Lytechinus pictus: one gene and its partner. The protein of the gene in region 1 binds, or shares a complex with, the protein of each later gene. Links are inferred from orthologs where the notes say so. Each region holds a gene or a part of one and is shown on either strand. Other genes may lie near its edges. The genes, in order: glutamyl-tRNA(Gln) amidotransferase subunit B, mitochondrial-like; glutamyl-tRNA(Gln) amidotransferase subunit A, mitochondrial-like.

Evidence for each region.
Region 2: glutamyl-tRNA(Gln) amidotransferase subunit B, mitochondrial-like (region 1) and glutamyl-tRNA(Gln) amidotransferase subunit A, mitochondrial-like share a complex: the UniProt entries of both Homo sapiens proteins name them as parts of the heterotrimeric GatCAB amidotransferase (AdT) complex. The link is inferred for Lytechinus pictus from reciprocal best matches to the Homo sapiens genes GATB and QRSL1.

Annotation. Positions count from the first base shown.
Region 1 is NC_087249.1:39,941,797-39,958,554, forward strand, and holds the start of glutamyl-tRNA(Gln) amidotransferase subunit B, mitochondrial-like, read right to left. Parts: upstream 7,780-16,758; 5' UTR 7,765-7,779; coding exon 7,625-7,764; intron 6,624-7,624; exon of another isoform or gene 6,528-6,623; intron 3,844-6,527; coding exon 3,690-3,843; intron 604-3,689; coding exon 490-603; intron 1-489. UniProt on the Homo sapiens protein: Allows the formation of correctly charged Gln-tRNA(Gln) through the transamidation of misacylated Glu-tRNA(Gln) in the mitochondria. The reaction takes place in the presence of glutamine and ATP through an activated gamma-phospho-Glu-tRNA(Gln).
Region 2 is NC_087248.1:5,490,336-5,506,604, forward strand, and holds the start of glutamyl-tRNA(Gln) amidotransferase subunit A, mitochondrial-like, read right to left. Parts: upstream 7,777-16,269; 5' UTR 7,634-7,776; coding exon of another isoform or gene 7,589-7,633; 5' UTR 7,343-7,588; coding exon 7,319-7,342; intron 6,580-7,318; coding exon 6,420-6,579; intron 4,026-6,419; coding exon 3,927-4,025; intron 3,257-3,926; coding exon 3,160-3,256; intron 2,362-3,159; coding exon 2,164-2,361; intron 1,586-2,163; coding exon 1,410-1,585; intron 1-1,409. Other genes in the region: cell division cycle 5-like protein, read left to right, coding at 7,589-7,633, 8,614-8,717, 8,868-9,029, 9,908-10,038, 10,714-11,042, 11,775-11,854, 12,184-12,259, 13,166-13,327 and 3 more. UniProt on the Homo sapiens protein: Allows the formation of correctly charged Gln-tRNA(Gln) through the transamidation of misacylated Glu-tRNA(Gln) in the mitochondria. The reaction takes place in the presence of glutamine and ATP through an activated gamma-phospho-Glu-tRNA(Gln).

The DNA of each region.
Region 1 (16,758 bases):
GGAAATGGGGTGGGTGGGGAAGAGGGAGGGGAAAGTAATTGGAGATCGAATGGGAGAAGAAGAGTAAGAAAGGGAGGGGGAGGGAATGGGAAAAAATGAGAAGAGCACTTGAGGAATGATAGGAGCAAGAAAAGTGAAATATGGAGCAAACGGAAGAGAGAGGAAAGAGGAAAAAGGAGGAAAAGGGAAAGTAAGTGGGGAGGAAAAGAGAAAAAAGTAATAAAAGAGGAAATGAAAAGGAAGGTGGGGAGGGAGAAGAGGATGGGGAGAGTATGGGAAGGGATGCAATAAAATATGGAGCCAAGGAATTGGATTTGTCCAATTTTTTTTAGGATTGGATAACAAAGACACACATTAAGAAAAAATAATCAACTGCTACAATCAAATTGACTGATATTTAAAAAATATAAAAATACATTAATTAAACTGTGATTTCTTAATTATGCTACTATAACTAATTGAAAAAAAGTACAGTCTGATGGGATTTACCGGTAAATCAGCGTAGAAGTAGTGTTTACGATCAAAGACTGAACGCATGTTGAGAGAGCAAGAGAGGGCTAGTGCTGTCAGCACACCCGCTTCCACACATCGTCTATTCAAGACCTGCAATGACAGCGATCCAACATGGTAAATCATGATCACATATATGTGTAAGGATGTCAACATTATAAAAGGGGAAAAAGAAGTGAAACTATAGGAGATGCAAATAAAGTTAACTGAAGCCGAAGAAGTCTGGTTGTGCACTAATTTAATTGCTGGAATACTTTGCCCCAGCTCAACTCATGGCCACTGAACAATTTACATATATATTTAAATCAGGAATATCACCCAATCAAACTAAAGAGAATGGAAGGATCCAACTATATGTAAGAACCCAATTCATAAGGTAAACCAATGAGGAATAAGGAGGTGAAAATAATAAAAATGTCTGGGTGATTATGTAATAATGGAAATAGAAACTAAGGAGAGAGGTGAGGATGGAAAGAATGAAACACCTGAATAGAGAAGGAATGAAGATGACAAAGGAGGAAAAGAGGAAAGGTATTCAGAGTAAAATGAATGAATGATAACTGAATATCATTAAACTCAAAAAACCTCAGCTCAGACTGCAAGGGCAGTGCTGAAAAGAAATGCAAATGAACTCAAGTCTAGACTGAACAGATATGTAAAACAGCTGGAGAAAACACAAGTTAAAGAAAATAAACAAGATAAGAAAATGACAAAATAACCATCTTACACATGTATGTTTCTATAACAAAAAATATTCAAGGTTGAAATTTCCAAGGGAGAGAGGTAAAAATGTAACAACTGATAGAAAAATATAAGAAAGTTGTCCTGATTAATAAACATACAGCCAGCTTTCTTGGGAAATCATTACTTAATAGAAAAGGAATGAAGATTACTTAAGAGAATGAAAGGACTTCAGAGTGGAAAGAATGAATGGCAACTGAATATATCAAAAGAGAATGAAAGTTTGATCCTTCCATTATCTTTATTTTGATTTGTTGTTATTCCTGGAGAATAGACTAGTCGGGTAGTAGAGACCACATTGCCCGAATTCACAAAGGTGGTTTTAAAAGGTTTATACAAATTTCCTGTATAAATGACACCCATTTACCACATATAATAAACAACGACCAATGCTGATGCACGCTTTTGTCACAGTGCGCCAAATGTACGCCTGTTGCCATGGTTAACACGCTTTTATTCACGAGTCCACTGTTTTGAAGAGTGGACTCATGAATTAAAATAGCATGCTCAACCATGGCAACTGGTGTCCATTTGGAGCACTGTGACTAACACGCGCATCAGTATTGTACATTTTTTAAAATATAACTGAAGCATATTTCATACAGGAAATCTGCATAAACTATGGGTTCAAACCTATGGTTTTCAAAATTACCTTTGTGAATTAGGGCCAATGGGTGTAGCTGATGTAGTGTTAGCCCGGGGGGGGGGGGGGGCACTTACATTGTCAAGTGGATACCATGCGCGACCAAAAAAAACATGTAACAAGTGGAATGCCTCTGGCCGTCTCACCTGCATCACGCGATTCAATATAGCAGCAGTGCTGATTTTGAAAACTACTATAACTCGCACAAGATGTTCAGTGATACTTGGTTACTCTTATTTCCACGTTTTATGAACTAGACCAATACACTTATAGAGATATGATGGCAATTCAACAAATACCCCCAACGTGGCCAAAGTTCTTTGACCTTACATGACCTTTGACCTTGATCATGTGACCTGAAACTCGCACAGGATGTTCAGTGATACTTGATTACTATTATGTCCAAGTTTTATGAACTAGACCAATACACTTATAGAGATATGATGGCAATTCAACAAATACCCCCAACGTGGCCAAAGTTCTTTGACCTTACATGACCTTTGACCTTGATCATGTGACCTGAAACTCGCACAGGATGTTCAGTGATACTTGATTACTATTATGTCCAAGTTTTATGAACTAGACCAACACACTTTCAAATTTATGGCTGTAATTCAACAAATACCCCAATTTGGCCAAAGTTCATTGACCCTAAATGACCTTTGACCTTGATCATGTGACCTGAAACTTGCACAGGATGTTCAGTAATACTTGATTACTATTATGTGTAAGTTTCATGAATCAGATCCATAAACTTTCAAAGTTATGATGGTAATTCAACAGATACCCCCAATTCGGCCAAAGTTCATTGACCATAAATGACCTTTGACCTTGGTCATGTGACGTGAAACTCATGCAGGATGTTCAGTGATACTTGATTAACCTTATGTATAAGTTTCATGAACTAGGTCCATATATTTTCTAAGTTATGATGACATTTCAAAAACTTAACCTTAGGTTAAGATTTTGATGTTGATTCCCCCAACATGGTCTAAGTTCATTGACCCTAAATGACCTTTGACCTTGGTCATGTGACATGAAACTCAGGCAGGATGTTCAGTAATACTTGATTAACCTTATGGCCAAGTTTCATGAACTAGGTCCATATACTTTCTAAGTTATGCTGTCATTTCAAAAACTTAACCTCAGGTTAAGATTTGGTGTTGACGCCGCCGTCGCCGCCGTCGGAAAAGCGGCGCCTATAGTCTCACTCTGCTATGCAGGTGAGACAAAAATGATGTCTTTTTCAAGATAGGGCACGTTACGTACGTAACATAAGGGTGTCAAAAATACTAAAATAATGAAAAAAGGGTATCTATTTTCGCTGGGAAAGCTTCGTGTTTAGGGCAAAATTTGCGAGGGTATGAAAAATTAAGACTAATATGTTTTATAAAGGATGTACTCTTTGCCCCAAGAGTCAACACTACGTGGGGGCTGTACTAAACCCAATGATGTAGGTAAAGGTGAAACCGACGACTGACGTCCGCGACATAATTGAAATATCGCTGTACTTGTTTAGGGGTTCAATTCAGGAAATACTTGCCAATAGTAAAGTTTTGTTTCCAATACTTGTTAAGGGATGGGGTTTCACAAGCCAATACTTGTCAAGGGGTGCATTTTCAGAACATGGAAAATACGTGTTTAGGGTGCTTTTCAAGACCCCATGGTCGCGCATGGTATCCACTCGTCAATGGAAGTGGCCCCCCCCCCCCCCCCCCCCCCCGGAGTGTTAGTTAATACTACCCGACAAATAATAGACCAATTGCTAGTAAATAAGCCTCCCAACTATACTAACCGGAAGAGTACCTGGCAGAGAGGCATCAAAAAAAGAGACTAGCGAGTTTGGTGGTGCCATGAATTGGGCCTTAGAAGCAGAAAATAGTTTGGTATTGGAGAGTATCTGGGCATGAATCTCAAGGCCAACCATGCTGGACCATCCTTCAAATGAACTATAGAAATAAAATTATCAAAAACATGAAAATTCTTTAAAAATATTACTACTGAGGAGAAGACAACAAAGAGGAAGAGGGGAAAGAGGAAGAGAGGGAGGAAGAGTAGAAAGAGGGAGGAGGAAAAATGAGAAGGAAGAGACTGAGGCCGAGGACAATGAGGAGACAGGGGAGAAGGAAAGGGAAGAAAGAGGAAAAGCAAGAGGAAAAGCAAGAGGAAAAGGACATGGAGAAGGAAAAATGAGAAGGAAGAGGCCGATGAGGAAAATGAGAAGAAATGGTCCCCCCCCCCCCCCCGAGTCCGCATTCCTAGCTTAAGTTTAACACTGAACAGTGCAGTTTCATTTGTCATTTTGGCGACGTGTGCTTGATGCAAACCACTCATTCTATGATATAACCCTGTTCTCTATTACTACTCCCTGTGTGGTGAAATAAGGTTGGCAATGTTTGGCTTATTTTCTCTCTTTCTTTGGGACAAATGCTTGATTTTTGGCACTGTCAGTTTCCATTACAGCTATTCATCATATAACTTGGCTCTAAAGTAAATTCGATTCTATAAATTATTTTTTCTTAATTAAAAATAGAGATTGAAAAATGAGAATTGTCTTGCCATATAGAGGGCGTACACGAAAATATGCCCAAAATTCAAGTTTTCAAGCGCTCTGGTGAAAAAAGTTACTAATGAAAAATAAATTGCAACTGTATGGACTATGGAAATTAGTATTTTTGGTCACAAAAGTGATATTTTAATGATTTTTTAAATTGTGTGCTGCGTACAGCATTGCCATTGGCATACCAGTCCTACCTGTAGATTCCCCACAGGCAGGATGATAATGAAACCTTGAGTGGATGCAAACAAGTACCAGGCATCTTTGAAATTTGGCGTAGATGCAGTTTCGTACGGGCCGACTTTGAGCAAATTTCCCCACAAGAAATTGTTCGCAAATGTCATCTGATCATGGCAAGTCTCTCAGTCACATTTCAAGGTCAATAAACAATATTCCCAACCGCTTTTCCAAATATCGGGAACGGCTGGATTTCGGCTCCTAGTCCTAGCTCGATCATTATTATCGTTCTAAGTAATATTAACCAGTGGGGAAATTTGCGCTAAGAGTCTTACTAGTAAGACCCTAAGTCCTAACGCCTAAGTCGGGCCTAAGAGTAGGGTGTCTGAAGCCACACTGAAAAGTGTCAGCATAAAACAGGCTGATTTTAGGAAAAATATGGCACATTTTTTCGGGAAATTCAGGCTGCTAGAAAAATGTGATCTGAATTGATTAACTTGTTTGGCATGTATGGAAAGAGAAAATTCAGGGGCTTCTTTTGACATTAAGGACAAGTTTATAGGATTATATGAAATAAGGATTTAGAGATAAATTGCAAACCCTTATTTGTGTGTGTGTTGAGATTGCCATTTCCCCATGCGTTTTCTATGGGAAAATGACATTTCTGTTATGCACAATTTTTTTCACTTTGTCGCAATTTTTCATTGTGATCTGGTTTCCAAGTCTTTATAAAAATCATACCATCAGAAAGCGCATGAAAAATCATATTTGACTCTTCATGGACAAGTTTTTGGCATTAATAATAAATTTATAACAGCTCTCGGAAGCTAAAAATTTGGATTTGTGTGTGTCCATTTCTTAACTACACAGTCTATGGCAGAGAAATGCTGAAAATTGACCTAACTTCATTCTTTTTTGCAGCCAATTATTGGATTAAAAAAAAAATGTTCAATTTCTGTCAGTTTGAAGCCGTGAAGGTCATTATTCTTCAAATTCACAAAGAAAATTTGATATTTTCTTGAAATAAGAAAAAAAAAAAAAATTCTCCAGACACCCTACTAAGTAAGACTCGCAATCGGCCAGTGCAACTGCAGTCTGTAGCCTGAACTGCTGAAGGCTATTAGCGCAAATGAATTTTAATTTCCAAACGCCATGCTTATTAGGACCTGACTAACGTTAATCATTGTTAACAAATGTCAGGGTTTAGCCTAACCCAGGGAGCGCCGGCCCGCGAAGCGGGCCGGCGCCCAGGAGCTCACCGTGTATTTACCAATACTCACAGGACAAGGGTAGATTATGGTCAAAATATCTACATGTAGCAAGATAAATTGTGAAAACAGAAATTATGCACTTACCACGATTATATGGATGAAGGTCTATCGAGTGGTAGAATCCTGACATCCAGGCACAGACTGGAACCTCAAAAAACCGAAAAGTTCTCTCCTTCTACCCCAGTCTCGATCGGCCATTTTGTTATGATTCATAACAAAAATGGCCGATCGAGACTGGGGTAGGAGAGAACTTTTTGTTTTTGAGGTTCCAGTCTGTGCCTCGATGTCAGGATTCTACCACTCGATAGACCTTCATCCATATAATCGTGGTAAGTGCATAATTTCTGTTTTCACAATTTATCTTGCTAGATATTTTGACCATAATCTACCCTTGTCCCACTCACACTAATACGAGGTTAGTATATGTACTAACCTCGTACAAGGGACCGTGTTTGACCCTGGATTTCGAAGTAGTCGGCAAACATCGCTTCATTGCTGAAGTAATATCTGCCGAAACTCCTTCTCGCTAAGCACCGGGGCTCTTTCCGGTAAGTAGCAATACATAAACAAATTATACATATGATTTTGAAATAATTTCATTATAATAAAAAGAGCAAATTTCGCTTACCTCGGCCTAGCAAGTGACTTCGTTTGTCTCTTCTACGGAAATACAAGGAAGCCCGTTGGTGGCGCTAATAAATTTCACAACCTTGATTCAGCTCCTCTGTAATTTTATAAGTATAACTGTCTAAATTCTTTGAATGCGCAATTCTTATGATTAATTTACTAATTATGGGCACCAATAAATGAAATACAGTTCAAAAATATAATTCAAGATTACTATTGGCGATGATAACACTTTTTTGCAATTAATTTAAAACGATGACTAATAAAATAAAATTGAGAAAAATACACATGCCTGGAACGAAACCAGCAGTACAACAATTGAACAAGCTTTAACGAACGTCAATAATACGGTATACCAAAGTCTATACAATGAAAAGATTGGACACTTCACGGACTTCGCGTAATACCTTGCGTGGATTTGCGTGTAAAATAGTGTAGGTGCCTAGTCTTTCCCTTGTCATGTCTTTGATATGAATATTAATATAAATCGCGCGCCCTCTTTAGGAGAAAATTGATATCCACGCCAACCAATTTTTATCTCCGTGAAATCTTCACTAAAGATCAAGAAAATATAGGGCCTACATATTTTTTAAAAGAAACTTCAAGGAGAAGTCACGGAAGGATCTAAATGATTTGGTAAGTGTCATACTCATACTCATAGCAGAATGTGAAATACCATTTGTATTTGTAATAGGCCTACCAGATTATGCGTGATATTTTATGTGGGCAAAAGCCCAGTATATTTTGGATGTGTCGTGTGAATATGACTGATATTCTTTCGCACGCGAGACGATATGAACCCATGGGTGCACTTGTCCCGTGAGTATGGGTAAATACACGGTCGGTGAGCTCCTGGGCGCCGGCCCGCGCTCCCTGCCCCTGGGTTAGGTTTAGCCTTTACTTTAGGCCACGCCCACGCCGCCTTCATTCGGCAGCGGCGCTCTTGAGTTAGCGACGCCGACAGCTCCGGCCTCGTTCGTCCCGCGGTTGTGTTCATTTTGCCGGCCGTGCACTGCAGCGCCGCGACCCGGCCGAGCCGAGATTGTCTCGGTGCAATTCCACGCAAAGTCAGACGACTTCACAATGATTAATACTAACCAATCAGAAGTTACAGAATAATTTCTTCGTTTTATTGCTCTCCAACCACTATAAGATCTTCTCAAGGAAATCACAACCGGTTTTTGGAAGGCAGAAAACCTCCACGATGTGCTCATGCAAGCTGCCATCTTTAAAAACATCGAATGTGCAGAGCGCCCTCTTGCGCTTGTACGCGCACGCATGAGGAATGCACGGGAAGAATGTTCCCAAATATAATTTATGCGTTTACTTTTTAGCAATTAAAGATTCCCCCTTTTTTAAAGTATTTAGCATTGTGCTTTTTTTTTATTTATCCCCTCCCCCCCCCAAAAAAAAAAGAGCGAAACTATCAAAATAAAGATAACACAGAAGCCAACTGATGAAAAGTAAGAGAATTGAGCATTTAATTTTGTAATTCTATTTGGTTAAAAAAAATATTTTACTTATTTTATGATGAAAATTTGTATTATCTTTAAAAATAGAAAAGAAAAGCGGGTGTAGCAATTCGGACTATTACTAAGGGTTGTTAGTTATACATGACTTTGCTTATGACTAAGAACAGGTTCTTAAGTGCCACATCAAATTCTCAAGATTTCCGTCAGCCCCCGGCCGGCCGTTAGCTAAAAGTTGAAATCTGATTATTGTAACGTTAGACAAAAACTCTTGTCAACCAGCATCTGAATGCATATTTCAAAATTTGTCAATAATCTAAGGGCAACAGGGAGTTCATACCCATTACGTTAAAAAAACATGTAAATTGGGATCTCTCAGTTTTAGTGCAGGATGAAGAGCCCAGTTCATAACTTGTAACAAATTTGCAATTACGGTTAAATAAAGCTACTGAAATCCTTCAATCTGATGATAAATTTGATGTGGGAGTTGTGCGTTTGTTATTGTAACAAGTGTTTATGAAACAAGACCTGATGCGTTGCCAGTCATGTGTCATTAGTTACTTACAAACAGCTAGTTTTATGAAAAACCCCATTTATCAGGCCTGCCAACATTTGAAAATGAAAAAAAAAGGTATAATCGCACGGCGCAGATTTTTCTGCTCGATGTCAGGTGTGTCTCCCTCACTTTTTTTTTTAATCAAGACATGTTTAGCATTCTTATATTTAAATATTGAGAAATTACACGTTTTGAAAAACTATATTACTCTCACACCCATACCCCGCCACACAAATACATGTACACGGGCCAATTTTTTTTTTTATCTTAAATAAATGAAAAACGGAGTGCTCCTCTTTTGCTGGTTGATAACAAATCTCAAAAGTGGGGTAACTCCAGGAAAAAAAGTAGTTGGCAGGCCAGATATATTATCAGAAGGGAAATTCCATGAAAGGATCAAAATGTTGGTATTGCCAATCCCCACCCCCCCCCCCCCCGGCCCCCACACACACAGTTCTTCTGCATTTTAACTTTGACTTCATGAATTTCTGAAACCATGATGACTTACCCACATTGTGCTGCACTCAACTCAGGTGAGGAACGCAAATGGGTACCGGCAGATGGTAATTCCTCAAAAAGCTGTGAGCACCAGAATTGGTAGACTAGCTAAGCCAGGTTAATATGGGAGCGCCTTGAGCACTTAAGGTGGTTATATGTGCTATATAAATCCTATATCATTTATTATTACATGTATTTATTTATTTGAAAGCATTACAACTTTTGGTTCCACGACATTTGTTACAGTGACATTTGCTCTATAAATGCAACACACTAATCAAATGACTAACTTCAACCCTGGATTTAACACTATACCCTACCTTAAACCTAACATAAAACCCTATTGCAACCCTAACCCCAAAACTACGTCTTAGACGAAATGAAAATAAAGAACAATTGTCGCAGAAGCAAATGTTGCGTCACCCAACTTTTCATATTTAATATCCAATTTAGTATTTAATAAGGACGCATTTGGCAGTGATATGCGCTATATAAGCATGTTGGTATTATTATATATTCACTGAAAAACTGAGGCAAATTGTTTCAGGAAGTTCCCACATATAAGGGATCATAATTATGTACACACTTTATGGAATTTCCAAAAATTTCACATGTCAAATGTAGGTCTTCTCTATCAATGAGATTTCATTTTCTTTTCTTTTTTCTGTTGGAGAGTTAAATAAATCACTCACAATACTACTAACTTCTTTAAAGGGAAATGCTATCAGAGAAGAAATCAATAAAAACATTATTTTTATATAATTTCACATTTATTATGATATATCTCATCTACACCACATCATAGTCTCATTTCTGGGTCTGGTTTCATAAAGAGTGGTTAAAATAACAAATGCACATTTTCTATATCAAGTTTACAATCAGCCAATCAAATCGAATGATTTAATTTGCTTTAAACTGTTATTGAAAAATTTGGTATTATAACCAGTTATATGAAACGGGCCCCAGCTCTGTAGGATTCACATTCATTTATATACTAAACATTATGAAAATCTCCACAGCCTACCTGCACATTACCAAATATAATCCCACTAAACAAATTCCCAAGATAACCAAGAACTTAGGCAGTTTTACAAAATGATGTTGTGGTGGCTTGATTATGGTGACATTTGTGCTTTGCACAAACAATGAAATCACACATCCTTGATGCATAAAACTGACACTAAAATAAATTTTCTTGTATAATAATAAAACATCCTTTGCTAACATAATTGTATGTATTTACTGATGGCATACTAAGTATTAACCACCTCAAAAAACAATGGCATGACTAACAAAACAAAGATAAAGTATGATTTAATCAGTTCAGGAAGAACATATAATATTTCAACTTCTTCCAATCTAGAAGGCTTGCCCATCAAACTTTAGCTTGGAGAAACTGATTTTCGATATATTAACAATTTCGTTTAACAATCTTGTTAGAAATATACCCTGACAAGCCTTATCTTTTTGAGCATATGACACAGAATTTGAGAATTATTAAAAGTAAAAATAATTTTGCACGAAAATATATATCACATTATCAAGATGAATCTGTCATATTGCTTTTAGGTGCTATAAGCAAAGTATGACTGCTTTGCAATCACTTTCAACCATGTAATTATATTACAAGCTGTAAAAAATAAAATCTTTGTAGTTCATAATGCAGTATCTGAAATACTGGTGACATTACACTCAATATATTTAAAATTTGTGAAATCCTACATTTTATAACCCCTTCCTTTCACAAATACTACAATTTTACCATTTAACTTTATTTTAGAAAGAAAGGATAAATAGAATGCAATATCTAACTGACCAAAGAATTTGGTTTGACTGACAGTTTTTCAAAGTGTAGGACAACACTCAAACACTAGCTAATCACTTCACAGAAAACCTTCTGGGTTGCATGCGTGCACATTAAGTTATTGAAGCAATCATCAGACACGGACAGATACAAAGACTTAATCAGTCACTATCAGTAGTCCCCAGCTCTGCCGAATATTTCTTTTGGTGGAATACAAACTATGATTGTCAACAAAACATGTAATGCATAAAGTCGCTCGTAATTTCATGAAACACCGGACCGGACATTAATGCGTTTAATAGAAGAGGTATCAATTACAAACACTTCAGGAAGAGGAAAGGATAACGTTGAGGGCTGCCACAAAATACAACCTTGCCTGGCATTGCATCGGCCAGCTAATATATTTGATATGAATCCCACCGCTGCCACCAATAAGGATCTATGGCATCGGGTCAAAGTGCACTGGTAGGAAAGGGTGATGGAGGTAGTCAGACGTCGGACAATGCAGCAATACCTGGTAGGTTCTTGCCTGTATGGGATATGAAGCAAAAGAATGAAGAAAATTCTTACAAATTGGTAAATAACAGAGCACAGAATACTTAAACAATAAAGCGAGATGAATTCTCAAAGACAAACTTGAATTTCATGCCTCTGGCATATGTAAAGATAGAGAGGGAGCAGATGGCAAAGGGTGATTTTCATGATATAGGTGGGGTGCATCTCACTTGCTTCCACCCCCCCCCCCCCTGAGTCTATATCTTTCTATACAACATACCTTCCAAGAGCTCTAGACTAGCCCCGCCTCCAGTACTGACATGGCTGACGAGATGCTCAGTGTTATACTTTGCTGCACACGTCGCAGTATCACCTCCGCCTGTCATAACAAAAATATATACATTTTTTTTTAATTTTTAAGACAATAACATATTACAATATTTCTCACCAGCAATCCCAAACCCCCTCCCCCTCCTTATCACAAACCCTCCCCAAATGGATTAAGATTCAGAGGTGGATCTATGCCCCAGGATTGGCTCCTGTGTTTGAACTTTGGTTACTATCAATTGTATGCCAGTGACAACAATGATAATAATATATTGGACTTTTATAGCGCCGAATCCACTCTGTAGAGTGCTCAAGGCGCTATTCAAGAATTATGAAGGAAATTAAGAAGAACTGAATAGCAATGCTTTTAGGGTTATTTTTGTATACAAAAACTCCTCATAGGTAAAAGTGATTGGCTGATAGTAAATTTGGCTGTAGAAATTTGAATGTGTTAATGACAGGTTTTATGAAATGGGACCCATGCTGACTGAATGTTTATGTTGGGATGAAATGTAAACCCAAAGGACAATATTCTGAAATCCCCATTTAACTTAGTCTGAGGTCATGGTCTAATTCTGTGGCAAAATGGAGGTGCCGTGGCCGAGTGGTCAAAGGCGCCTGACTGCACATAGAAAGTCCAGGGTTCTATCCTCGGCCGCAACACTTACGCCCATAAACAAGGCAATTGATCTACAATGTTTTTATCCCGCATTCAAATAAATGAAAAATGCTACACACATTCTTGCTAAGTAGGTGTGCACTTGTTGTTAAAAAAAAAATTCTGTGGCAAAATTATAGGAAGCCAACAAATTTCTTGTTACCATGTTCTTTCATTAATAATGATGAAGGAAATTATATAAGAAATTACTATAAAATACTTCAAAATGAATTGAGCACCAAATGTGCTGACAAACGGATCCTTGTCTCACAATTGGCTATCCATAGTTAAACCATGACTTCGAAGTTGTGGCAAAATTATAGGAAGCCAACAAATTTCTTGTTACCATGTTCTTTCATTAATAATGATGAAGGAAATTATATAAGAAATTACTATAAAATACTTCAAAATGAATTGAGCACCAAATGTGCTGACAAACAGATCCTTGTCTCACAATTGGCTATCCATAGTTAAACCATGACTTCGAAGTTCAGAATAAGGGTCAGAGGATCTTGAGCACAAAAATGTCAAAATAACTTAATGAATGGATGGATGGATGGGTTGGTGGGTGGGTGGACGGGTGATGGATGGATTGATGAATGAATGAATGAATCAAATAATCAATCACAATCGATCAATGAATCAATCAACCACTAATCAATGAATCATTCACTCAGTAAACCAATCAAATAGCCAATCAATCAATCAATCAAAAGATGAATGAATGGATGGATGGGTGGATGGATGGGTGGATGGATTGATGAATGAGTGATTAGACAGTCAGACCGCAGCTCGCGCGATAATGAGCATATTCACGGAGATTTATTCAGCGGCCCTCTAGCGGTCTCCGAAGGAAAACGTGCGATCAATTTGGCTTGATTTTCCCACTGAATTGGAGGGGCTGAAGTTATAGCTCTGCACTGGTCGCTAACTTCAGTTTACGTCGAAACGAATTGTGGTAAGTTATTCTCAAGACCTTCATCTACATTTTGGTATATAATTTTCCATATTTCGACATTTTCAACCTACCATTTTTACCTCTTTAATTGATGCTTATCTTAGTAATATTTTAACTGCGATTTTGTAGTCGGAATTTCACTTTTGGTTCCTGACTTTGCTACATAACCAAATTGTTTGAATCGGGATTTTTTAGAAAGAAGAAAAGTCACTTTTCAAAATATGTCAGAACCAACTTGACGCAAACTCACCTTATATTTTTATTTTAGAGAAAATGATACCCTAAAAATCAAGAAATTTACGTTTTACCCGGAAGTAACCTTCTCGTTCACTCCACGATGGCGCGAAATAATGCCAAAATTACGTTCGTCGCGGGTTGGTAGAATTTCGCCTTTGGTCCCATACGTTGAAACTTCTGTAATGATGGCAGATGGCTCGCATTATATTTGTGACTGTGGACGGTGGACTTGTTTTTTTTTTTTAATTAAGACTTAATAATAATATAAACGAAGCTTGATAAGTAGATCCCTTCTAAAGTTTTATTCAAATGATTATCAGGTTTCCGAATTCCATCAAGTTTTTATAGATTGAGATATTTCTTGATTTATGTTGAAAATTGTTAACCTTTTTCCTAGTCGAAGTTGAGCCCCATGATGATTTTTGCCCCAGGCTGCGGTTAAGAATTAAATGATGATTAGCTCAGACAGTCTACTCTAGAGACTATAAACAGTTTAAAGTCAAAGTAAAAAGTCTGGTACTACCGTACTCAGTAGTATTTATAAACCATTTTGTTCAAATAAAAAAATTGTGGCTGTCACAGACAGTACTTAGTTAGTCTCTTAATTGACTTACATGTAACATAATTCATACTTTGAATAATTTAGACTATTTCTCTCTTTTTTGTCTCTTCTACACACAGATCTGCATACTTGCTGACTCTGGTCTCTGCTTGCTTCTTCATTCTGGGAGATTCCATCATGTCCTATAATGGTCAGACCATGATTTGGACAAAGCCCTTTTTTCGTTTGCAAATTTTGGACTGATAATGATACAACAGAAAATTGATCTTTATCGATATTGGAAACAAAAAAATTAGAGCACAGTTTTGGGGAGGACTAAGAATACTGACTTGGACAGGAATACAGCTTGACAAAAATAAAAATTCACAATTCAAAACCAAAGAAAATTTTTAATGCATTGCAAGAAACTTTCTACTCAATCACACATTCCAAAATTAAGGGTAAGTCCTTTGATTAAACACAAACATGTAGTTGATTTGCAATTGAACATAAGTTTCTTGCAATGCCCCATAATTATATTTTGTTCTCAAGCAACTCTGTTATATGTTATCTAATGTGCTGAAGGTTAAGTGCCATGTATGTTCACAATTTTTTTTTTCGAAAGGTATAATATATTTGTCGTTTTAAACGGTATTTGAATGTGGTTACGCCTTGTTTTTGTTTTCCACAGTAATTATTGCATATATGAACAGAAGTGAAATATTTGTTGTGAAGCACTGTATGAATGTTGTGTGATCATGGAGCTATGGTGTGATGGTATTATAATTAATTCATAATTTTTGCTATAAGACTGTAAACCTGGTGGATGTGAGGGAGTGGCCTGGATGAAAGGAAAGTGAGCATGTGTCCAATTACTGATTTGCATATGTTTAGACAATTTTGATCGTGGATAAATATTAATGTGCATTCCCTATTCCAAGCAAAGAGTAAAGGAGAAGTCCACCCCACCAAAAAATTAATTTGAATTTAAAGAAAAATAAAGTATTGCAGAGAATTTCATAAAAACTGATTCAAAATTCAAAAAATTACTATTTTGACATTGAGAAATTTGCCTAATTTTATAAAACAATTATATGCTCATCTTGGTCAATGTGCAAATTACAGAACCGATTATGTCACACGCACTCTAATTTCTTGTGTATTTTTTTGTTTGATACATGTACATGACATGTATATTTTATTTTAATTTTCATTAACAAATTTTGAGAGGGATTTTAATTCCTCCATTAACATTCGTAGTTTCCATAAATGTAACCTATTGTACGAAGCCCCAAACCGGACATTTTTGACATCCAAAAAAAAAAAAAATTATCACGTACGTACGCAGTATACGTACGTACGTGATAATTATTACGTACGTACGCAGTATTATTACGTACGTACGCAGTATTATTATGTACGTACGTGATAATTATTACGTACGTACGCAGTATTATCACGTACGTACGCAGTATTATTACGTACGTACGTGATAATTATTACGTACGTACGCAGTATTATTACGTACGTACGTGATAATTATTACGTACGTACGCAGTATTATCACGTACGTACGCAGTATTATTACGTACGTACGTGATAATTATTACGTACGTACGCAGTATTATCACGTACGTACGCAGTATTTATTACGTACGTACGTAATGTTATCTCCCAAAAGGTCATACATGAATTCAAATACCGGTAGTTACTGAAATCTGATCACGCTAGCGCGAAGCCCGCAGGCTTTAAATTTTTATGTGGGCCTACAATAGGCCTTCTGCTTTGATTGTTCCCGCATAGAATTTCCCTTTAAATACCAGCCTCTTCAAATAGTTTTTCTTTTTTTAAACACCTATACATCTTCACTTAATTTACATCAATTAATACCATATCATATTCAAATTTAAGCAGAGAACGAAGCAATTTCAAAAGGGTGGTAAAATAATAGGGGCTCATACGTGTCGCGTGTGGGTACATTTTTGAAAAAAACTGTCTCGCCAAAACACTAACATAATAGGCCTTTAATTGTCCTTTCCCCAATGTGTTTCTAGCAGTTTCTGAAAGGAATGGTTTAATTGAAAACACAGCCTGATGACGAGAACAAATGAAATGGTTATCATATGAATATTGTGGGTTATATAGCAGGGACCTGGGAACTCGCGGGGGTGCTGGGGGTGTTATTTTCCATAGGCAGCACCCCCACGAAATCAGGTTCCCTTTGTATTTTTTATATATGTTATAATGTACATAATTATCACATCCGACAATCGCAAATCATACAACGTCTTTCACATATTCCAATAACATCCCTCCTATAACATGTAACGCGACTCAATCAAGCTCCGGCACGCCGATACAGACGTATGTTAAGGTCTTAAAGAGGACCTGAGCTTAACGTGTAACTCGCCGGGTAAGTTCGCGATAAAGTGTTAATTGCAATTATAATGTACGCGCGCGCACCGAATGCGGAGTTTGTGCGAGAAAATCACTTCAGTTCAGTAGTACACTGTTCCCCGACGGTACCATCAATATTCCATAAAACATGTGAGTATTAATACAGAAAGAATAATACAATTTCAGTTTATGTAATATAATTCGGCGCGTGAATTTATACAATCTATGGTCTACCGCATTCCATTCGTTATTCGTATGTAATTGCCTTGAATACTCTTGCCAGTCTTGGCTG
Region 2 (16,269 bases), on another chromosome or scaffold:
AATTAATAAGTAAAACCTAGTGCTTTCAAATGCTTTAATGACCATAATCATACTTACTCACACCCATGGGTGCATCGCTGCCGCCGTGCACGGTAAATTCAAGGCACGACGCATGCAACTCTCTATGAGCTGATCCTTCCACAGAATTTGGAGATTCCTGGAGTCCAGATAAACCACTTCCATGCACTTGCATGAATCGATCTTGCTTCATGTATTATAATCTCATACAATAATTCAATTTCACTTACCGATCCATATGAAGTCTATTTGAGCACTCTATTCCCCTCTGTTCCTCATCTTTTCTTGCTCTTGGCGTCGCGCTGCTTGTCGAACAACAACCTCAATTTTTGGCCTAAAGAGGGCGCGATTTATATTCATATCAAAGACATGACAAGGGAAAGACTAGGCACCTAAACTATTTTACACGCAAATCGACGCAAAGCATTACGCAAAGACCGTGAAGTGTCCAATCTTTTCATCGTATAGACTTCGGTAGACCGTATTATTGACGTTTGTTAAAGCTTGTACTGCTGGTTTCATTCCAGGTACGTAGATTTTTTAATTTTTTATTAGTCATCGTTTTAAATTATTTGCAAAAAAAGTGTTATCATCACCAATAATAATCTTGAATTATGTTTATGAAGGTATTCCATTTATTGGTGCCCATAATTAGTCAAGTAATCATAAGAATTGCGCATTCAAAGAATTAAGGCAGTTATAAAATTACCGAGGAGCTAAATCAAGGTTGTGAAATTTATTAGCGTTACCAATGGGCTTCCTTGTATTCCGTAGAAGAGACATGCGAAGTCACTTTCCAGGCCGAGGTAAGCGAATTTGCTCTTTTTTGTACTTTTTTTATTTTGAATTTCAATATAAAATTATGATTGTATTGCTACTTATCGTAAAGAGCCCCGATGAGTAGCGGGAAGGAGTTTCGGCAAATATTACTTCTGCAATGAAGCGATGTTTGCCATCCAGTGTCAAACGCGGTACGGTGTACGAGGTTAGTATAGTATACTAACCTCATACTAGTGTGAGTGACTTACTCATAGGGTCTAAAATATATATATACATTTCTGATTACATTAGATATTTATTGCTGCAACTTATTTCATTATAAGGGAGACATATTATTCACACAAGTATGAAATAATGAAAAAATTGTGATTTTATGTAACAAGATAAGAAAACAGAAAGTGGAGATGTGACATCATCAGCCCACCTAATGAATATTCATGACGACTGTTTTCACAAAATGTTGCTAAACTTTAAACTTCAATAACTTTATTATTTGTTATCCGATTTTGATGAAATTTTCGGCATTTTGCTCAGTGAATTCTACTCTATGTATTAAGATATAAATATTTTCAGCCCGGACCATCCCTTTAAGGCGACTGATCTCATAATACCTAATACAGTTGCTGTATCATCTACAGTCTTGGTGAAGATACCAGGAACATCTAAAGAGTTGACTAGAGATATCAGGCCATGCCTTGAACAAAGACCATAAGAAGGTTTCAAACCGACGACGCCACAAAATGATGCTGGAAGACGGACTGAGCCACCTGTATCCGAGCCCAGAGCTCTGTGGGGAACACAAATAAACATACAAAATGGAGTAGTCATCAAGAAATGATCAATGTCTTATCAAAGACCAACTTCACAACAGAACGATGCCTGAAGATAAATAGATCCTTCTGTATCTCAATCAAGCTCTAAGGGGGAAGAAATAGAATATTGGTTAAAATAATTATAAATGTTGAGAAGATAAAGTCAATGAACATGACCTGAAGGAGTGTCCAGAAGAAGGTATAGAACTGTCAGGAGTGGAGATCTTTCATACATGCCAGGAGGCATAATGGGCAATAAGTATGTAAAATTATAGTAAAGAAATTTATAAAAAATACAGTATTCAAGGATGCAGTCAGTAGGGAATGCACACATGATTAAATGAATCTTCTAAAATAATACATACTGATTTGATAACACGTAATTTTATGGTGTTAAAATCATTGTTAAAGAATTAAAAAAAACATAGACAAAGACACATTGTGTAAAATAAGATGTGCATGACAAAATACTGTAAACAAGCTAACCAGGAAAGTGTTATGAATCTACTTGGAAAAAGGGCTAACACTAAGATAGGAGAAATAACTGACTTACGCCAGGCACGACCCACTGGCTACTGCGACACCACTTCCTCCTGAGCTGCCTCCACTAACGAACCAATCAGAATCAATGATATCATCTTCAGAACTATAACTCCCTCCAGTATTCTGGGCTTGACGTTTCCTGACCCGATGAAAGGGGTACCTCCATACATTACGTGTAGGTCCAAACAAACTGTCTGTTGTACCACTCCTTCAGACAAATATCACAAGATGAAACGATGAAAGGACTTTAGGTATTTTCAATAGAATTTCAGAATGTGTAATAAAAAATTTCCATTCTAAAATATTTAAATATTATAAGCTGGAGCACTTTAAATCATCTAGCTCACCATTATCATCTTTGACATCAATGAGGTGCTCTAAAAGTAATTAGAGGCTTAATTTGTGAAATGCTTCCTAACAAAGTACAAAGGGAATATTCTTCTTACATCATTAGCTCTACCAGGAATAGAGTAATTTAACGTAAATTGCACACATTTATAGATATCAAATCAAATAATAAATTATAGAAGTCCTTTCCAAAGTAACCATAAAAAATAATTTTGAATTGGATCAGGTCTCATCTGTTAAACACAGAATGGTATTAATGAATCAGCAGCGAAACCAGATGGGAAGCTAGCTGACTGACTTGTTCAAAATGTAGGAACAGATCAGGAGTGCAGTGTAAGCACTTTCTTTACAGCTTGTATGCTCATGCAAATCCATCAGCAATAAATAAAATGGGGGCTTGGGGCCAATTCACCCCTGAAATATATCATAATACCCTGAAAAATTTAAGAGAGCCCCTAACACTCCCATAGGATCCAATGTAAATTATGACACAATGTAAAAAAATGGTTGTTGAGTAAAAAAAAAGTAGCCCTGGAATCAATCAATTCATTAATTTATTTGTTCTGTATAGTCTTGTCTGCTGAAATAACGATACTGTACTCCAATACATTAATTTAGGACAGTAATGATTCTATTATCATGTTATAAAACAGCTTACCCCATGGCAAACTCATCAAGGTTAGTTTTTCCCAGAAGGATAGCACCATGATCCTGAAGTCTTTCTACCACCGTAGCTGTGTATGGTGGCTTATAATCTATAAAGAAAAATAAAGAATCAATGAATCATTGAAAATTGTACTCGGCTTTGATAGGTATTTGACACCATTTGGTTGTTGACCAGTAAAAGGTGATGTCCATCATCCAGAGGGGAATGAGAATGAAATAAATGTAGAAGTGTTATAGCTCAGTGGATAAATCTCTAGATTTTGAACCACAAGGTCCAGGGTTCAATTCCCACCACAGCACTCGCAGCCTTTGCCAAGGCTTTTATCTACATTTGCCACTCTCCACCCAGGTGTAGTAAATGGGAACTCAGTAGGAAGGAATTCCTTGAAGGCCTCAGTGTCAGTATGGAGTGCTTAGAAACATTTGTATTAAGCGTTATATAAATGTATATTATTATTATCATTTATTATGTATGATTTAATTAGCTATGATCTAAAACACTGTCCTCTAAACTAGTAGCTAACCTGGCCAGAAATGCCAAAAGCTGAATTCCCAGAATTTCTATGGTGTAAAAGCTTCTTAGCTGTACATCCAATAAGAAGCTCTCATTACATGCTTTTCACATACATGTATAGTCAAGGGTAAGAAAATGAATACCGGTAATCCTCTTCCTATGCAAACTTATCGTACATCTAAAAAGTGCTGAAAAGTAATGCAAACCATACTATCAGAAGACACAACTACACAAAGTTTACTTACTCTCTAACATTTTTGAGCCACAAGTTGTTCTAAGCCCTGTTGTGCTGTAGTTGTCCTTGATAGTTATAGGTATCCCACCTAAACAACCTACAGATGCACCTGATAAATGACAAATTGGATCATTGATTCATTTAGTGTCACTCTTTGAAACATAATTGAAATTCTAGAATATAAACTGGCCAGCAAAAGAAAGTACCCACTTCTATCAAAGGCTGCACACAAAAATTCACCCCATAGAAATAAACAATTTTGTACACAGGTATGCTGCAATATCCATTAGTAATCACATACCCAACAGGAAGTGATTATCTTTATTACAAAGAAATAAAATGACATGTACAGCATCTTGGTCACTGAATCAAAAGTCACAAAATGTAACAGAATGAGCCGTCCATTCACTTTGACATATTGGTTGTTAAAAGATGTTGTCCATTCAGTGGCCATTTTTGCTTGGTGGAAAGTGCTTTTGTGTGGGACTTTTGATTCAGAGACAAAGATGCTATGCATGCCAAGTTCTTCTTTGTTATGAAGATATTCAATTGCTTATGTACATGTGATTAGTAATGGGTATTGTAGCACACCTGTGTACAAAAATTGTTTATATTTATGTCGTAAATTTTTGTGTGCGGCCTTTGACAGGGGTGGGTACTTTCTTTTGCTGTCCAGTTTAGTATCAATATACTTATTAAATCCAAGAAGAATCATATAGCAACCTTTACTTGTCAAATCTGATTACCAGGCATAAACTCGCTAACCTGAACATCTATGTAAGAATAATGCATTTAATGAAATTTAAGCCTTTTAGGGTAAATTAAGAAGAAAATATATGGAGGGTGAAGGGATTTGGAAAAGGGAGAATAGTGTGGATTAAAATAATAGTGGGTTACAGCTGAAATCTGGGGAAAAAATAGGGCAAAAATACTCAAAGCTGTAACATAAAAAAAGTTCTGGATAAGACCGTAAATAACCTTTAATTACTTCATGAAAATCTTTATAATAAAAAGTTTGGTAAAAGAAAAAAATAAAGCTTGCACAATTCTACACCTTCATCATTTTCCCTATCTTCATCAGATGTAAACATAGGTGAATCTAACAACGTAGAGTTTATGATACTCTAATACTTTACTTCTACAATTTGGATGAACATATTCAATTAATAGAAATGTGTTTCAATATATGTGACATTCAAAATATGAATTTTCAAAACATGGTATGTTATTGAAAATGCACAATATAATATTTCCTTCAGGAAACATAATGTAAACTAAATTGTAAGCAATATGCATAATAAAATATTTACCATGATCAAATATGAATCCAACTTGTTTTTAATAATAGCCAACTTCATATGGAAACACAGTAAACAAAAACTGGATAAAATGAAAGATTACAGTATTAGGACTTTATCTTCTTTAAAAAAATGAGCAATTTGCTTTCTATGTTAGCAATTTGTATTTGGAATAAAATTCCCTTTCAAGTAAACTCCTGTTTAGTCAATTACATGTTGTATGAAAAAAAGCATTGAAAAAACATTCACCTCAATAAGTTATAGTTAATTTTTCATCTTCAGAAGATGTAAACATAGTTAAATCTGAACCAAGATATTATGAAAGTTTAAAACTGAGTAACACTAATACACACAAAAAATTTAAATATTTTAATCTTGCATGAATCTGAATCATCCAAGAACTTCAGGAGAGATAACACATCATGCTTTGAAAATTAATATTTTCCACATGTTATTTGTTGACCTTTATCTATCATCTGATTCTGTGTTATTCTCATTACAGTATCTCATTGTTTTTCTGATTTGACTAATTTGATATCTTATGAAGATGAAAAATAAAATGAAATATTGAAAAATTGACTACACAGAATGTCTGGCCAATTCAGATTCAATCAAATTTCTATAAACCAAATTGAAAAGAGAGACACAGATGCTTATCAACAAAAAATGTTGAAAACCTGAAATTTCATGGCATCATTTGTTATCTAAACACTGACAAACACAACGATGGAATCTTTGCTTGGAACATGAATCATATTGTGCATAGTGCTCTAAGCAAGATTGGAATATTTACTATAATTTACCATGAATTTTAACTTTAAAAAATCTAAACAATTGAACACTGAATGGAAGAATGAAAAATTTATTGACCATTAAGAAAATGAGAAATCTGCTTTCCATAATTGAAATTTGTATTTGGAATAAAAAAAAAAACCTTCACATAATCAGCAGTCTCTTATGAATTAAAAGTTGTGTGAAAGAAAATATAAAAAAAAGATTGACAAAATCTACCTAGATTGTAACATAAATTTTTCCACCAAAAATATTTTCATCTTCTGAAGATGTAAACATAGTCAAATCTGAAAAGATAGAGATTATGATAGTTTAAATGAATAACACAAATAAACTAGATTCATATAAAAAAAATTCAATCTTAGCCATTGGAAAATTTAAGACTAACACTGTAACAGTAAAAGTGAAACTACCTTTATTTATTTTGTCTTGGACTTTCTTTGCATCTTCCAGTCCTTGATCAAAGCACTCTGTTACAATAGCATTCAGCTCTTTACAGCGCCTTGCCCTCTCTGCACATCTGGAACAGAGCTCAGTGACCGAAAGCCGACCATCACGTAAGCGAAGAGCAATCTGCAATGATGGAAATTTAAAAAAATGAAACTTTGATTTGAAAAATAAACTTTTCATGCTTCAATCTACATGTATATTTACATCTGGAAAATAATATTAATAAAGTTAAGTCTTAAGGCTATAGTATATCTATGTTCCGCAACTTTGACTTTGAGTGGATTATGTCAAGAACAAAATTATCAAATAAATCAAGTGATCACCCATCAGGCGATTATTAGCCCCTCAAGGCTCAAGCTCAACTAACTTATAGTATACCCAGAAAATAGTTTTTAAACAGGTAAGGAAATAATTTAGATCCCAAATTGTTTGGCATTTATGTAGATCTTATTCTAATTTTTAGTTAGAAATTATGGAATTAACCGAACACACATCAACTTAATTAAGTCTTAACCACATGTATGTATGGTGATATAGATCTAGGCCATAGACTATAGTGACTGATAGATTTGCATACTGATCTATGATATGCCGCCCCCACCCTTTCCCCTCGATCACATGCTGCAGTCCCAGGCCCAAACTTGCCAAAGTCAACAAATTCACGAGTGAAGAGTAATCAATATTGCAATAACATAAGCTCTCACAATTTTTTGAGTTTGTGGGACTGAGGTGAACAAAATAATTCCCTGTAAATTAAAAAAAAAAAAGTCAATTTAAACATTTACTTCAGAGAAATACATACTACTTTTACATGAACAAAGAGCCGAACAAAAGATATAACAGAAACATAAATTATATTTACCTCACGAATAGATAAACCGAACATTTTTCGTAAATCTAACTGTTATTGGAAAAGTCGCAGCGCACTCAACTGTCGCGAGAGAAAACGTAGATTTTTGTCCAGTCGTTTTATCAATTATCTTTAAAATGCGCGGCGCAAAAGTACGTGCATTCTCTCTTTCTTTTCCGGTTAGCGCCTAGCGCATAGCTAGGAGAATAAACTACAACTCGTTGCGTGATATTCTCCCTTTTCACTTCTCAAACCTGAATTTTGACAAGAAAGACTGTGAAAATGCCACGAATCCAGATTAAAGGAGGTGTTTGGAGGAACACTGAAGTAAATATTTATGTTTTAGTCTTATTCTCCCTTAAAAATATGTTAGTTTGAGTTAAAATCCATCAGAAATTTCAGTTAAATCGGCGATCTTTGCAAAAAAAACTTGCATGTTTTGCAGTGTATGACGTGCTTTTTGAGTGTGTATTGTGCATTTTAGGGTAGTGTGAGAAAGAAAATTCAAAATTGAAGGTGTTGAAGGATCAGAAATTCAGAATTAAGGAAAAAGAAATGGTTTTAACTTTTATTGTGGCAAGTTTAACACCCATCATTAATGGCATGCCTCATTAATTTAAGTTAAATTAATTTATTTCAGTCATCAGTCACTATCACTCAGTCATTTTGATTCGAAGTGGAGACCGTCCCGATGCCAGGACGTTACTGGGCCAGGGCCAGGCCCTTGGCCTTCATAAAAAATGGCCAACAGAGAATTTAAAAACAAGGGCCATCAAATTGAAATACATTATATGAACATATTTTTTTTTAATGCACCAAGTATAGAAGACATCACGTCGAGACGGGAGATCTTATGGGACACTCTTTATTTTTTTTACGGAGATTACGGAAAAGAATCCGTGTAACTTTTAGAATATTTTGTCTAGCTACAAATAGGTCAGTTTTACCCCTAATTCATCATAAAATTTAATTTGTTTATTGGGGTAAAAATGTTTTAAACAAAAGGATTTAAGGCGTTTTAAAACAAAAAAACTTTAATGTTATAATACAACCCTGTTTTAAAGATTAAATGACCTCAGTCCTCCTCAGTCCACATGTCTGCTGCTTGTGAGGCTTGACTTACTCTTCTGGTGAGAATTTATTCATGGATTTTAAGTACATTTAAGTGCAGGTAATCAATGTATATCCACATGGATTAAGATGTATTTCGATATAAATTAGAAATATTTATTAGTATGATTTCATAATTGAACTTTGAAGGGTTTTATTTTTCAATAACCTATTATCCTATTTCTTTTGTGCATTAGGATGAAATCCTCAAGGCAGCTGTGATGAAATATGGCAAAAACCAGTGGTCTAGAATTGCTTCACTGTTACACAGGAAATCAGCTAAACAATGCAAAGCAAGATGGTAAGTTACATCAATTTATCATGGGGATGTAGTGTTTTCTTAAAACTGTCCATATGGAAGGTATTCCTAATTCCTTATCAAATGTGTAGATATTTCATTTGCTTGTGCGTTGAAATTAGAATTCAGCTTTTCTCTTGTTCTTCATCTTAGGTTTGAATGGCTGGATCCGAGTATCAAGAAAACAGAATGGAGTCGAGAGGAAGATGAGAAGCTCCTACACCTGGCTAAGCTCATGCCTACCCAATGGAGGACCATTGCACCCATTGTGGGACGTACTGCAGCACAGTGTCTGGAAAGATATGAAATCTTACTGTAAGTTACGATCTCACTCTTCAGTGAGATTTTAAATCTAATTTATAGGCCTTTGGAGTTTGAAATGGTTATCAAATTGTAATTCTTGTGCTCTGATTACTTCTGTATTGTGCAGTTTTGTTCACAATTGCTCTGCCAAGCAATGAGATTCAATTTGTCGTAACTCATTTATGAATGTATCATTATCTATTGCAAACCTATTGATGTATTGGCTTTGGTATCTATATCATCACTTATACATGTTTAAGTGTCTCTGAATACATAACAGTTATGTATTCAGAGATTTGAGGAACACATGCGTAACAAACCAATCATACAGCATGTATTTCGCATTGAAATTGAGACACAGAGGCCATACTGTTTGCTTGCTTGGTTGTAATAGATATAACATTAACTTTTGATGGAAAATGAATGAGTATTGATATCAAACTATGATTTAGGCTCGTACCTTTGTTTTAATAAAGCAACAGCCTTTGTGGAGTTGTCATGTTCAAGTGGTCAAAGGAACCCTATTACACATGAAGGTACAGGGTTCAAAACCTGACCACAGCACATGTGCCTCTGAGCAAGGCAATTTATTGTCACTGCCCTGTCATGTCTTATGAATGGCTACTTTAAAGGTTCGTCCAAGATAAAATAATCCTGTACGATACACATCTGTAAAATCAAAAGTCTCATGAATACAGATGAAAGTCTTGACTTCAAGTTTGAGAGCACACATGGGAAATTTACTTCCTAATATTACCTTTTTAGATAGATACATGTATGAAATATAGTATTTTAGAAAGATGTTTTTAACCTTGAGTAACTAGTTTCTTTTAGAACTAAGTTCTTGAACAGTTTTACATTTGAGATGTTGGTATCATTTTGATGACCAGTGATCAAGCGCAGAAGAAGGAAGGTGATGGGGATACGATGGATGATCCAAGGAAGCTGAAACCAGGAGAGATTGATCCTAATCCAGAGACTAAACCAGCTAGACCTGATCCTATTGATATGGATGAAGATGGTAAGGAATGAAACGATTAAAAATCATCTCCTGAAACAAACTAAAATAATGATATTCCATTCTTGTACATTAATAGGGCATTTCACATTATCATGTAACAACTCATGTGCTTTCAAAAGACTTGATATTATTACTCTGGTTTTAGCCTGCATACTTTTATAGCACACAAACATTTCTAGGAATAAATTCCTGACAGATGATCATTAACCTCACCTGGTTCAAAATAGACCTTATACAAATATGATACTAGACAAGCCTAAGGAGATGAGGAAAATTGAACTTATCATTAAATGAGATGAGATAAATGTTAATCTGAGATAGAAATAACTCGTACTATCCACATTGATATATGCAAATTTAGCTAATAACATAAAAAAAAAAACAAGATATCAAATGGTGAAGATCTTGCCTGCTTTGGTAAACTACATGTTATCATTATATTAGGAACATTGTAACTTGTTTTGTTGATTCATCTCAGGTCTAAATAACTTGTAAAATGTGGATAGTGATAAATCAAATGGAGTATTGCGTGCACTATTGCCTGTTTAAAGTTTGTTAGGGTTTGTAATGTACATCTCTATGTGGATATAGTAACAGATGTATCAAATAAAAACTTGAATGTAAATTTGATCTCATTTCTTACAACTGTTTTGTTTGTTTACGTCCTCAATATAGAACTTGAGATGTTATCAGAAGCCCGTGCTCGTCTCGCCAACACGCAGGGTAAGAAGGCCAAACGGAAGGCTCGTGAAAAGCAGCTTGAGGAAGCGCGACGTCTTGCAGCTCTTCAGAAGCGTAGGGAACTCCGGGCAGCAGGTATCGAGGTCAACAAGAAGAGGCGCAAGAAGCGAGGCGTTGATTACAATGCTGAGATTCCGTTTGAGAAGAAGCCAGCGCCAGGGTTTTACAACACAGCTGATGAAATGGTCGCACCTGTGGATCCAAACTTCAAGCGGCTTAGGAGAGAGGATATGGACTCTGCTCGTAGAGATGAAATTGAAGAGGTACATTTCATGTTTTTAATAAATTGATTGATGAATTGATTTATTGACTGATTATTTGAATTAATTAATTGATTAGATTATTAAATAAATTGATCATTGATGGGTTGATTGGATGATAGAAAATGTTCCTTTTCAATATATTTGTAAACCATTGTTAAAAGTGTAAATTATGAAGTCAAATTATCGGAAAGAACTGTTTGACACAAAAATGGAAAAGAATGGAGAACAATAGAACGGAATCAGTCAGAAGGTAGAAACTTGATAGAATAAGACAGTACGTGTACATGACAAGATAAGAGAGCCTTCTTTTTTTAATAACAAAACAAGATAAAAACAAGTTGCAGAAGATTGAGATTTAAAATGGGAGGAAGAACTGAATAACATTCCAAAATTGACATTTGTTGTATAATAATTGTTTAACGCTATACTTATGCTAAACAAAAATGCCAGTTTTGCCTGGAAATTCCCAGGCTTATAATTTCATTGGGAATAAAAAATTCATTCATTTCTAAACTGACTTTAATTGGTATTACATGTACAGTATATAGCTAGTTGTGTTACCAAATGGATGGGTAAAGCAGCCATGTAATGACAATATGAATGAATAAACTATTTCAGATGACATTTTTTTGTCTTGTTGAGCACTTCATGTTAATGTCTTAGATGAACCATATGACCTTATAGGTTACATCTATATTTTCATAAACAATTCTTTTTCAATTTCTCTGACAGAGAGAACGAAAGAAGGATAGACAGAAGTTGAAGAAGAGGAAAGAGAATGATTTGCCTGGAGCTATCGCTATGACAAACAAGTAAGTGTAGAACTGTCATTTAAATTCGTGTACAAGTGTAATGATACAAAGCTTGTTTACCAAGATATTTCATCAAAATGGCAAAGTATGAAATAATCCAACACTGAAGTTATTAGCATGGTAACATTGAAAAAAAATCTTTAATAGTATTAAATGCAAAATCTTTCTTTGCTCATCCTGTTTGAGACAAGCAAATTGCATTTTCTAATATGTTATTTTTTTTCTTTTCAGAATGACCTATAGTGAATAAGCTTTTCACTGCTATTAGATATTCCATGGTCTGACTTATTTTCATGCTATGTTATGCACTGTTTCATTTGTTTTCATAGGATGGCTGAGCCAATGAAGAAGCGTAGCAAACTTGTCTTGCCTACTCCACAAATATCTGATGCTGAGTTAGAAGAGGTAAGTTCAAGATGAATAAATGATATTATATATATATCTACTCTGTGTAAACTTGGGCCTATTTTTAGTATATTTAGCAGCATAGAAAGGTTTTGAAAGAATTATACCCTTGAGAATTTTCCATCTTATTCAAGAGTATTAATTAGGATTTGAATTTGTAGATTTGGCCTTCACTTTTTTAAGTTTTTTCTCTTTGAAGCCTTATCCAATGTTTAGTAACGCAAGTTTATGAAAACAAGCAGGGATCATAGGGTCAAGGCACGAAATTTATCATTTATTTGAACTTCAGGGCCCTGTGGCATAAAAGTAAACATTATGATAACTTTGCCATGCAATGGTAATTTGCGTGGAATCCTTGATTCTAATTGGCTGTTGATCAGTGTTACCATGGTAGTTACCATTAGATGGCAAAGTTACCATAATAGTAACTTTTGTGCAACGGGGCCCAGGCCTTTTATGGCCAAGGTTTGAAAGCATCCAGTTGTTTTAGTTTCCATTTCAATCCAATTAGTATTTGAATTTTAATTGTCTAATATTCATCACTGTTGAATATTGTATTTACATAGTTTTTTTTTCCATTCTATTTCATTATATTTAATTAATTTTTATGTTCACTTGCTCCTTCAAAATTATTCATTATCTATGTACATCACAAATCCTAACATGTACCTATTTAAATTGTTATTGTTGCTTTTACCCATGTATGACTTGTGAATATTTTATTGTAAACATGCTAATTTCAGCCTTTTGGCTGTGTAACATGTATTGTTTTTATACAAAATAAACCATAATTGAATTGAATTGAAATAGGTAAATGTCCAATGTGTTTTTTATTCGTTTGGTTTGTACGAGTATCAAAGACTTCTTTTATTCAATGGAGTAACACCAAATCTTTTGTCCATATAGGTTGTGAAGCTTGGTCAGGCTAGTGAGAATGCCCGTCAGATCGCTGAGGAGGGAGCTGTCAATGGTGCATCGGATGCTCTTCTTTCAGACTACACTATGACACCAGGACCAGCCAATCTCAGAACTCCCCGTACTCCTGCAACACATGATACAGTACTTCAGGTAATCATCACCTTGACATTCTTCCTTTCTTGCCCCCCCCCCCCGATTGTCGAGGATCAGTGGCTATCTGTGTGTTAAATCTTGATGAGTAAAATCTTCTCTATTTGCATTTGATGAATTTCATGAATCTGTGTAAGGTAGGAAGGAATTCCTTGAAATTCTTGGAGAAATGTCTTGAAGGAATTCCTTGTTTGCATGAGCACCTTATCGGATAGCTGTGCTATAGCTGGGGTAATAGTAAGAGGACTTGCATTAAGCCCTATGTAAATGTTGCATATTATTGTTATTCTATACTGGCTGACAAAGTGCCATATAATTATGAGGAGGGTAATAGGAATCTGGTAGTGAAGATTAAGGATTAATCCATTACCTTCTGGAACTGGTTAGTCGATGTACAAAGCCTATGGGAATGACAGAATTCAAAAGTCAAAGGTTGTACTCAAGTAAATATACTTGTCAATTTTTTCCCATACACTGGATACCTGATATTGTATAATAGATCCAGAGATGCACCTCCAATTGTTTATCTTTCTACTCTTTTATCTGTGTTCAGGAGGCACAGAACATCCTTGCACTGCAGAACGTTGAAACGCCATTGAAAGGAGGTTTGAACACAGCAGTAGGAAGCAGTGATTTTGATGGTATCACGCCCAAGAGACAAGCTACACAGACACCTAACATGGCGTTCAATACACCATTCAGAACACCAGGTCATGAGTCACAAGCAAGTATGTTCAATTTCACATTTTCACATTCAAATTTGTAGAGACAGTTACGCATGGAGATATATTTAGAGTTCAGAGTTCATTGTTTGTCCAATTTCTTTTGATATAGAGCCTTAAAAGTCCTATGAGAGAAAGAGTAAATAAGCTCTGCATATTTTATGCCTATTTTAATGCATCTGCATCTTTCCTTCAATGCCATTTTTTTGTAAAAGGAGAATTAATCACTTGATTCATAAGGACATTGTTTATTAACTTTCTCTATTTATAATTAATTCATGAACTTGAATAGAAAAAAATGCAGCAATGAAAGAAATATAGTGTTGCCCATTTGAAGAAAAAAGCTAATCAAATAAAACATCAATTAATTTCCCTAATAGGCCAAGACTGCAAGTCTATATATCCCTTTCTAACGATTTGATCTATTATTTCTCTCTGATTCTCTCTCATAAGTGCATTTGAGAGAAAAAAGCAGGACATGACATTTTTGGAGCATTGTGGCCCAGTGGATTAGTCTTCTGACTTATAAACAGAGGGTCGTGGGTTCCAATGCCAGCCATCGCTTCATTTCCTTCGGCAAGATGGCTATCCACATTGTGCTACACTACCCAGGTGAACTGCGTTATTATTATTATTATTATTGTTATTAATTTATCTTATCTTATATTTATCTTAACTTATCAGGTTTGACCCCTCGGATGACCCCACGGATGGGCACTGGTGGAGGCCAAACCCCAGGTCAGACTCCGCTACGTGACAAACTCAACATCAATCCCGAAGAAGCTCTTATGGAATTTGATAATGTACACAGTGCCAAACAACAACAGGTATGTTATTAACACTAGATTGTATGTTACATTGCCATTTGGTCTACACCCACTTTGTCTTATGTCAGTTTGATCTCATTCAAAATGGTAAAGTTCGGGCCAGGGATGGGGAGATAATGACCATATGAGGCAAGGAGAAGAATATGCAGTGTACATAACATTACTTAACTTTTTCCTCTCTTATAAAGTTAAATTCTAGTCTATTTTGATGAAGAGCACCTGGATAAACAGGCTAAAGTATAAACTATTGTAAAAGATGGAGCCCAGTCCTCTCATAGTGTATCATACTTGTAGTGAATTTCCCTTAAAATGCCAATGATACCTTCCCTTCAAATTGCTTTGTTTTTATTTCGGAGGGAAATGAAGGCCAAACTTCGAAGAGGCCTATCATTACTTCCAGCTCCAAGGAATGATTTTGAGATTGTGAATGACACGACATTGCATTAATTATTTTGTTTATTTCAGAGGGAATTGAAGGCCAGCCTTCGAAGAGGCCTATCATCACTGCCAGCTCCAAGGAATGATTTTGAGATTGTGAATGACACGACATTGCATTAATTATTTTGTTTATTTCAGAGGGAATTGAAGGCCAGCCTTCGAAGAGGCCTATCATCACTGCCAGCTCCAAGGAATGATTTTGAGATTGTGAATGACACGACATTGCATTAATTATTTTGTTTATTTCGGAGGAAATTGAAGGCCAGCCTTCGAAGAGGCCTATCATCACTGCCAGCTCCAAGGAATGATTTTGAGATTGTGAATGACACGACATTGCATTAATTATTTTGTTTATTTCAGAGGGAATTGAAGGTCAGCCTTCGAAGAGGCCTACCATCACTGCCAGCTCCAAGGAATGATTTTGAGATTGTGAATGACACGACATTGCATGAATTATTTTGTTTATTTCAGAGGGAATTGAAGGCCAGCCTTCGAAGAGGCCTATCATCACTGCCAGCTCCAAGGAATGATTTTGAGATTGTGATACCAGAGAATGATGAGAAGCTGTTAGAAGAGCCTCAGGATAATTCAAACCTCATTGAGGATGCATCGGATGTGGAGAATAGACGACTTGCAAAGCTGGCAGAAGAGAGTGAGTCCTTCTTTGGTGTCTTTGCTGTGAAATCTTTAGCACCATGATTTGGCTTTTGAATGACATATTTTCTTTTTTAGCAAAAAAGCAAGTGATTAAGGTTGTCTGCTCAAGTAAACTTTTTTCATTTCCTCAGAAGGTTTAAGTGAATTACTCAAATGCACTCCTTTTAGATTCACCCTTTAATGATTAGAGTACTGATATGTTATGACTGGAATCTATCACACGGCTTTAAAATAAGTTTTAATCCAACTCTCTGATACTGAATTCATTTCACCATAATAAATGACATTAAAATATTAT